Rattus norvegicus: one gene and its partner. The protein of the gene in region 2 purifies or fractionates together with the protein of the main gene of each other region. This does not show direct contact. Links are inferred from orthologs where the notes say so. Each region holds a gene or a part of one and is shown on either strand. Other genes may lie near its edges.

Region 1 (3,808 bases), on a different chromosome or scaffold from region 2:
TTAGGTGGCTGCAGGAATTGCTAGCCATTCCTAGGAGCCATTCTAGCTGGGCTCCTCCAGTTAAGCTTTTGTCAACACTATCAAACTGTCTAGGGGGCGGGGCCGCCTGTGGTACAGGGTGGTGCCCTCCCTGTGAAGGTGGCCCCAGAGTGTCAATGCCAGGAACAGTGGTAGCCCTGTCATAGGCCACAAAGGCCATCTTATGCTAGTGTTCTTCACTCCTGGGTACATCCGTGCATAGTCACATGTGACCTTGTCTCCCTTCTGGAGACGTGCTTGAATTGTTGTTGCTCCATCACTGGCTGCTTTTGAGTCAGGGTCACTCACACACACTGGAGCTAAGACTGTTTTGGAAATTACTATGTGACTCATCCCAAGGCAATCCTGCCTCAGCCTCTCACACAAGGGTACTAGGTTGGAATTAAGTCTGCCCTAGGAACCCCCTTCTGTGTCTGTGGATGTGACCCAGGCCCTCACCTCTCATGGGAGGATTCTAGGCAGGAGCTCTCCCATGCCTTCAGCCTTCTTCCTGGGCAGCCAGCCAAGCCACAGCACTAGCCTAGGCTGGCCCACACTGACCTCCCATGCAAGCCTCCTGACTGAGCTGCTGAGTAACTTGGGTGCCGAGCATGATGGAGACAATGACAGCTTCCCACTGACTGGGACCGCAGAGGAGCAGCCCACACCCCCACCCCACACATCCAGGGTGGACCAGCCAGTTCCAGGAGCGAATACCTGAAGGCCAAGGGCACACACCTCATTCACTATGTAGTCCAGCAGCTCAAAGATGGCCATGGCTGGTCGGCTGTCCATCCCATGACCTACTTGACAGTACAAAGAACACACAACTGTGGGGGCTACAAAACTCAAGAGAGTGACTCTGGTCCTCCTGCCAGGACTCACTTCTGCACTCACAGGCTGGAGGAAGCTTTGCAGGTTGGGGAGGGGACTGGCAACACAGCAGGGACACCAATGTGACCTTACAGAGCAGCTGCTGGTATTTGGAACAGGAGGATGATGACCCCTGCCCAAGGCCCCACGGCCAGCTGCTGAGCTGTGCTGTTTGCCCGTCCTGTCATAGGCTGCTTTGGGACTTAGGCAGGAGAGGCACCAGCCCATGGGCTGGCCTGGTGTCACCACAGCTCGCCAAAGGACTGGGGCCATCTGAGACATGTTCTGAGACCTGGGGTCAGGGTGATCAGCCTGTGCTGGCACAGGGTGGGGAGGGGCTCTCTGCTCCTTTAAGGTATGTGAAGTACACACAGCACACACTGAGAACACATAGAGGGAACGGGGCCAGCCACATGCAGGGACCTCCAAGCCATGGTGCTTGGTGAGATCCAGACACAAAGGTTATATATATAGTACAGACTCCACTACAGGGAAGGTTCGGAGCAGGGTAAGAGCGAGTGAGTGAGTGAGCGAGGGATGTGTGTGTGTGTGTGTGTGTGTGTGTGTGTGTGTGTGTGTGAGAGAGAGAGAGAGAGAGAGAGAGAGAGAGAGAGAGAGAGAGCGCGAAAGCATGCACATGTGTGAATGGGACTTTGTTTAGGCGTGGTTGAATGTTCAAGAACCAGAGAACCAGACAGAGGGGGCTGGGGATTTAGCTCAGTGGTAGAGCGCTTAGCTAGGAAGCGCAAGGCCCTGGGTTCAGTTCCCAGCTCCGAAAAAAAAAAAAAAAAAAGAACCAGACAGAGGTAACGGACACTCTCGTCTGTGGCTGTGCTAACCACTGGTCTACAGGGCTTTCAGGAAGCAAAGGGTAGCGTTTGTTTCTGTTGTGTCTCCGCAGTTAAAGCCACCCATTCCCTGACATAAATCCCAGTAAGTCGGTGCTCTACAGAGGCTCTGTTCTACACCAAGACGGTGTTCCTGCCCCTTAGTAGCCAAGGCAGCCATTCCAAGGGTTGGATTGCCTCCCCAGGTCCCCTGGAAATGAGTTTCTCTCCAACCTGTGCTCCCTGTGCCTCCAAGGCAACAGGGTGTCACCAGATCACCTGCATCTGGGGCTTCCTGAATACTAGACTACAGATGTGTAGGCTGCAAGCAGTGGCTGGCTCCCTTTGTACCCCAACCCCAATTGACGCATCCTGCAGAAATGCCTGGGAAACCCAGCAGCAGCCAAGGCCTGAGCTCCAGTGGAGTTTCCCGGCGCCCAGCTGGCAGCAACAGGTGCAGCTGCCCTGGACAGAGAATGACATCGTGCAGCCTGTAGCTCTGTCCCCAGAAAGCCCTGGACCATCTGAGGACTGCTGACCACAGCAAGCCCTGTCCAGGGGACAGCTGGTACAGAGAGGGCCATCAGGGTGGCAGCTGAGCCCCCACCCATCCCTCTCCTGTCATGTCCCATACCACTGATGGGGCGTCCAGGGGGCCGGGGCCGCGGTGAGACACTATGGGGCTCTCCATCTGCCCCGTCCACCACAGGCCGGCCAAAGCTGGCCTCTAGTTCCTTGGCATCAGGTGGGGGGATGGGGTACCTCCCGATGGCCAGCTCCACCAGCGACAGCCCCATGCTCCAGATGTCCGACTGCACAGAGTAGTGGGTGCCCTGCAGCCGTTCTGGCTGTCAAAGAAACAGGACACAGCTGGGGTTGGTAGCATCAGGGTAGAGGCCACACACAAGCACAGACAGACCCCACTGAGGATGCGTGTACACAAAGGGCTTGGATACTCACGGACATGTAGGAGCGTGTCCCTACAAATGAGTTGGCCATGGAGTCAATCAACTGGCCGCTCACTCCGAAGTCGCACAGCTTAATCTCTCCACGAGAGTTCACCAGAATGTTGGAGGGCTTCACATCTGGAGACAGTGTCACAGGGGTGAGGCTGCACCCACTGTGTCCCACCCACACCAGCCTGGACCAGCTTACCTCTATGCATGATCTGGTGCTTCTCGCGGAGGTACGCCAGGCCCCGGAGCACCTGTAGGGAGGTCAGATCTGGGTAGCCTATGAGTCCAGGGCGGCAGGATTAGGCCATGACGAGCCTCCCCAGCCACAGGACACATGTCCCCAAGTCCTACACAGGATCCTGCAGCAAGCACATGGTCACTGTCTGCATTTCAAAGTGAGGGGCTGGGGCTATCTCAAACTCACCACAATTCTGTGTCAACCCCTCCTCCCCTCAGCTGTTAAGGTGACAGGCATGTGCCACCATCCCTGGAATTTTTTATTTCCTCTTTTAAGATAGGGTCTTACTCTGTGGTCCTGGCTGACCTGGAACTCACTGTGCAGACCAGGCTGCTCTGCCCATCCTGAGTGCTGGATGGGTGCACACCGTCATGCTGGGCTCCACCATAGGCACTTTTTTTTTTCCAAGATTTATTTATTTATTTATTATATATGAGTTCGCTGTCTTCAGACACACCAAAAGAGGGCATCGGATCCCATTACAGATGGTTGTGAGCCACCATCTGGTTGCTGGGAATTGAACTCAGGACCTCTGGAAGAGCAGTCAGTGCTCTTAACCACTGAGCCATCTCTCCAGCCCCACACAGTCATTTTTATATGGGGAAGAAAGGAGTGCTCACAGGCCACACACAGGCCATGGTGGGGCTGGCAGAGAACCTTGAGTAGATGGGGATAGGACATGATATCCCAAAAAGGAGCAGCAGCCAACGAACTTACCGCAATGCTGACCTTCCCTAAGATGTCCTCGGGAATGCGCTTGGCCTCCTTCAGTACCTGGTCCAGTGAGCCACCGTCCTGCACAGAGATGACAGCAGCTGGCTTTGTCAGGAAGACCAACCCAGAACTCAGGCAGGCTTACCCTATCAGCCCCAGCTGCCCTTGCTCTCCCAGGTTCC
Region 2 (3,908 bases):
CCTCCCTAGTGCTAGGATTAAAGGCGTGAGCCATCCCATTCGGCTAAGAAGAAAGCCTGTGTCTTTTATTAATTTATAGAAATGGCTCAGTGAGTACGGACAGCTCAGTTCAATTCCTGGAGCCCAGGGTGGAAGGAGAGAATTGTCTTCACTAACTGGGCGCTAACTTCGCCCACACGCTGTGCTGCACGTGAATCCCCCACCCCATTAATTAATAAAAAGCGTATCTATATCAGAGGCACTCGGTACAACTTTATTAACTACATAGTGAAATTTTAAAATTTCATATATGATTCCCCTTTCTTGTCACAAAGTATCCTCCCCAATCCTCAACTTCTTTAAAATGTACTGGCCGTTCTTTACTCTGGTACCGTAGGTGACTGACAAAGGTCAGGGTCGGTAGTTGAAGTTAGATTCCACAAGCCCTTGTGGGAGCAAGGCAAAGCCTCTGTCATCCTGCGAATGGACCTCAGCTAGATCAGGCCCAAGTAGTTGTCGTCCCCACCCGTCCCAATTCTGGGAAAGCCATCAAGGTTGGTTTCCCGCACCCTCCAGCCCACCAAAGCCACAAGAAGCCACCCGCAAAGCCAGGAACGGTGCACAGAGTACAGCGAGGCGAGCGCGCACCTGCTCCCGGGTCCCCGCGCACCTGCTGAGTCGCGCTCGGGCCTCGTCTCGCGAGATCCGGGCTGGCGTAGTGGCCCCCACCCCCACCCAGGCCACCGAGTACCTCTCCCCGCCCCCGGGCCGGGCCTCCCCGCTACCTCCGGGACCAGACCGGCCCCCCTCCCAGCCCCCACAGCATCGTAGCGGCTGCGCTCCGCACGCAAGCCCCTCAGCCCCAAGGGACCCCCGCCTCCCCGGCTGGAGGGTGGCCCGGCGGGCAGGTGCACGAGCCGCCTGCCGCCAGCGGGTCCCAGGCGCGCCCAGGGTGGGGGAGACCCGGGCACCGGCTGCGCGCACGGCGCCTCTCCGCGCTGCATCCCTCGCTCCGCTTCCCACCCCGCCCTGTGATTGACAGGCAAGATGTCGGTGTGGAGCGAGGCAGGAGCAATTGCAGCAGCCGTCCCCCCTGGAGCCCGGTGGCGGCAACAGCAGCAGCAGCAGCAGCAGCAGCAGCAGCAGCATTGTCGCGGGGAGCAGACCGCAGCCAGCCGCAGTGGGCACCGCAGCCGCGCCAGCCTTGCGCACAGCATCCCGAGAGCGCGCTGAGCGCGGGGACCCGCGGACCATGCCGTGTCACCGCGACCGGGAGGGGGGCAGGCGCGCTCCTTTTTGACATAAAAGCCAGCCGACCAAATAGATTTATATACATATAATTCCGCCCTTCACGGAGCCGGTGTGCGAAGCGTGAGCTCTATTTCCCTCTTCCTCCTCCTTCCACTTCTCCTCCTCCCCTTCCTCCTCCTCGCCCTCCTCCTCTTTCTCCTCCCCCTCTCTAAGTGTACAGACTGCACCCTACCACCTGGTTGGCTTCTGACAAACGGGCATCTCTCCCTTTTTAGGGACCAGGGACACAGAGAAAGAGAGAGGAGAGAGACAAGGGACATTCTAATGCAGACTGCCTGATACTCTACCCCCGCCCCAAATAATAATAAATTTTGGCTCTTGTCCCCTCCTCCAACCCCCACCCCCTCAAGCTTGTGTGAGATGTTGGGTTTCTTCAGGAGACACTGCTGAGAAGTCGCAGAGGTTGGGGAGGCGTAGGGGGGGTGGACTCCCTCTACCTCCACTCCTTCCCTCCCCCTTTTTTCTTTCTGGGAGGAGGTGGAGGAGGAGGAGGGGAAGGGGGGTTGCAGAGCAAGCTATGGATGAGGAGAACATGACGAAAAGCGAAGACCAGCAACCTCTGAGTTTGCAAAAAGCCTTGCAGCAGTGCGAGCTGGTTCAAAACATGATCGACCTGAGCATCTCCAATCTAGAAGGGCTTAGGACGAAGTGTGCAGCTTCCAACGACCTCACGCAGAAGGAGATCAGGACCCTGGAGGTAGGTGTTGCCTGCGGTGGGGGGTGGGGGCAAGCCTTCCATCCCTTCCCCTTTTCCAGTCTGTCCCCTTCCCTTTGGGGTTCTGTGTGCTGACGGAGGGCCCGGGGAGGGGAGAGGGTAACGCAGGTGGGCACGAATGATGCGCTATGATTTATCACCTGGCAAAGCCAGCGCCGATGTCTCTTCGCTTCCCAGTGTGGCTGCTGTCTGTGCTCGGCCGGGTGGTGGTGGGTAGCAGTAATAATTGGTGTGCCGTATTGTTGCCATGATTATTCTTTTCTTGTGGGAGGAGGGAGTTATTGTTATTGTTGTTATTATATATTCTCTCTCTCTCTCTCCTCTCTCTCTCTCTCTCTCTCTCTCTCTCTCTCTCTCTCTCTCTCTCTCTCTCTCTCTCTCTGGGATTTGTTTATATGCCACGGGGGCTTGAGCGCTGGGTGCTATGTTAAGGAGCTGCAGGAAACCCACGTGACCTTGTGTGTTCTGCAGGTGGTCAAAGGTGGTTTTGACTGGTTAGATGGGGCTGCCAGAATGGATTCAACCTTTTGCTCTGTGTCTCATCCCCCACCTCACCTCCCCCAACCTACGCTTAGAAAAAATCCCCAAGGAAGTACCTATTTCTAAAACAATCATTTGATGTAAAGGGGGGGGGTTCTCTTTGCAGGCCCAAAATGTGTAAAAAGAAACAATGTTACAGTTGCCTGGAGTGGTTCTTGCACTAGGTGGCGTGGGGAAAATGCTCTTGGGCTGTCTTGGTGAGACTTGGCGGATAGGGGTCCAGGAGAAGGAGTTACATTTGGCTCCTTGTAGCATCCTCTCTCTCTCTCAGACAGAACTTGAGGGGAGTCGGGAGCAGTTCACTGAGAGACTGTGATAGGGATGCTACAAAGTTACCACAAAGAAATGGAAGGAGCTATTTTCCTTCAAAGGCCATCTTTTTTGCCCCCAGAGGATGCTTTCAGGGTTTTGTGAACGGCCTGATGTACTGAAATCCTCCCGCACCTACCTCGTTCAAAATGTCAGACCGATTCAGCCCCTTCACCTTCCTTCCCTCGAAGGTCCAGCTGTCCACATTGCTTGATTTAATTTGGGAATTCCCACTAGCTGGCCTTTGCCAGAAAGTGGTGACTGTGGAGCTCAGAGCAAAGGAGGGTTCCCATTGGCATGGCCGTGCATCATGGAGCTGGATGGTTCAGTTGGCCTCTGGCTTGACTTGTGAGTTCCTGAGCCTGAAGTCTTTCTTCAGTCTTGGCTGACCAGGTCATCTGCATGAACACACCTCTTGGATGTATTCATTTGTCAGGCCTTTTTTTTCTCCTCGATGATTTTAAGTTTGGCCCTCCTGGTGTCTGTATGCAGGAGACTATGGTTTGGAAAGAGGAGTTTGTGTGCGTGGATATTTAAATACGGTGCTTACTGCCCTTGGATATATGTCTGTGCTCACCTGTCAAGTGGGAACATGAACCCCAGGGATGAAATAAGATAAATGTTAAAGTGGGATGTGCGTTGGGAGGCCTAGGCATTGCCTTTCTTAGGGGGTGGGGGAGAGAGAGAGAGAGAGAGAGAGAGAGAGAGAGAGAGAGAGAGGAGTAGGAGTGTTTGACTAGCGGTTGCTGCTGGAAGAAAAGGGTTGGCTAAGGTTTGCTGCTGGAAGTTTCGGGCTGTGGTTAGCCCAGCCCCTATCTCTGCTGCACAGGACCCAGAACAGACTCGGTTCAGAACTATACTTGGGAAAGTTTACACAGATAACCCCTGAGAGCCACCACTCCCACCATGTCTCTTCTACACCCTGTCACCAAAAACTAGGCTGACTTTTACAGACTAAGTTGCCCAGAGTTTCCTTCTGTTTCTTTCTGTGGTGTCCCATCCTCTGTTCACTGACTCCCTGGAGAGCAGTGATTGACACAGCCCGGGGCACTCT

Evidence for each region.
Region 1: the proteins of Ksr2 (region 2) and Map2k2 purify together in Homo sapiens (affinity purification with mass spectrometry; 3 studies listed by BioGRID and IntAct, with this or other methods). This does not show direct contact. The link is inferred for Rattus norvegicus from reciprocal best matches to the Homo sapiens genes KSR2 and MAP2K2.

What each region holds. Positions count from the first base shown.
Region 1 is NC_086025.1:9,243,625-9,247,432, forward strand, and holds part of Map2k2 (dual specificity mitogen-activated protein kinase kinase 2), read right to left. Parts: intron 3,708-3,808; coding exon 3,630-3,707; intron 2,926-3,629; coding exon 2,874-2,925; intron 2,804-2,873; coding exon 2,679-2,803; intron 2,567-2,678; coding exon 2,353-2,566; intron 825-2,352; coding exon of another isoform or gene 822-824; coding exon 757-821; intron 1-756. UniProt on the Homo sapiens protein: Catalyzes the concomitant phosphorylation of a threonine and a tyrosine residue in a Thr-Glu-Tyr sequence located in MAP kinases. Activates the ERK1 and ERK2 MAP kinases.
Region 2 is NC_086030.1:44,846,009-44,849,916, reverse strand, and holds the start of Ksr2 (kinase suppressor of Ras 2), read left to right. Parts: upstream 1-1,361; 5' UTR 1,362-1,807; coding exon 1,808-1,987; intron 1,988-3,908. UniProt on the Homo sapiens protein: Location-regulated scaffold connecting MEK to RAF. Has very low protein kinase activity and can phosphorylate MAP2K1 at several Ser and Thr residues with very low efficiency (in vitro).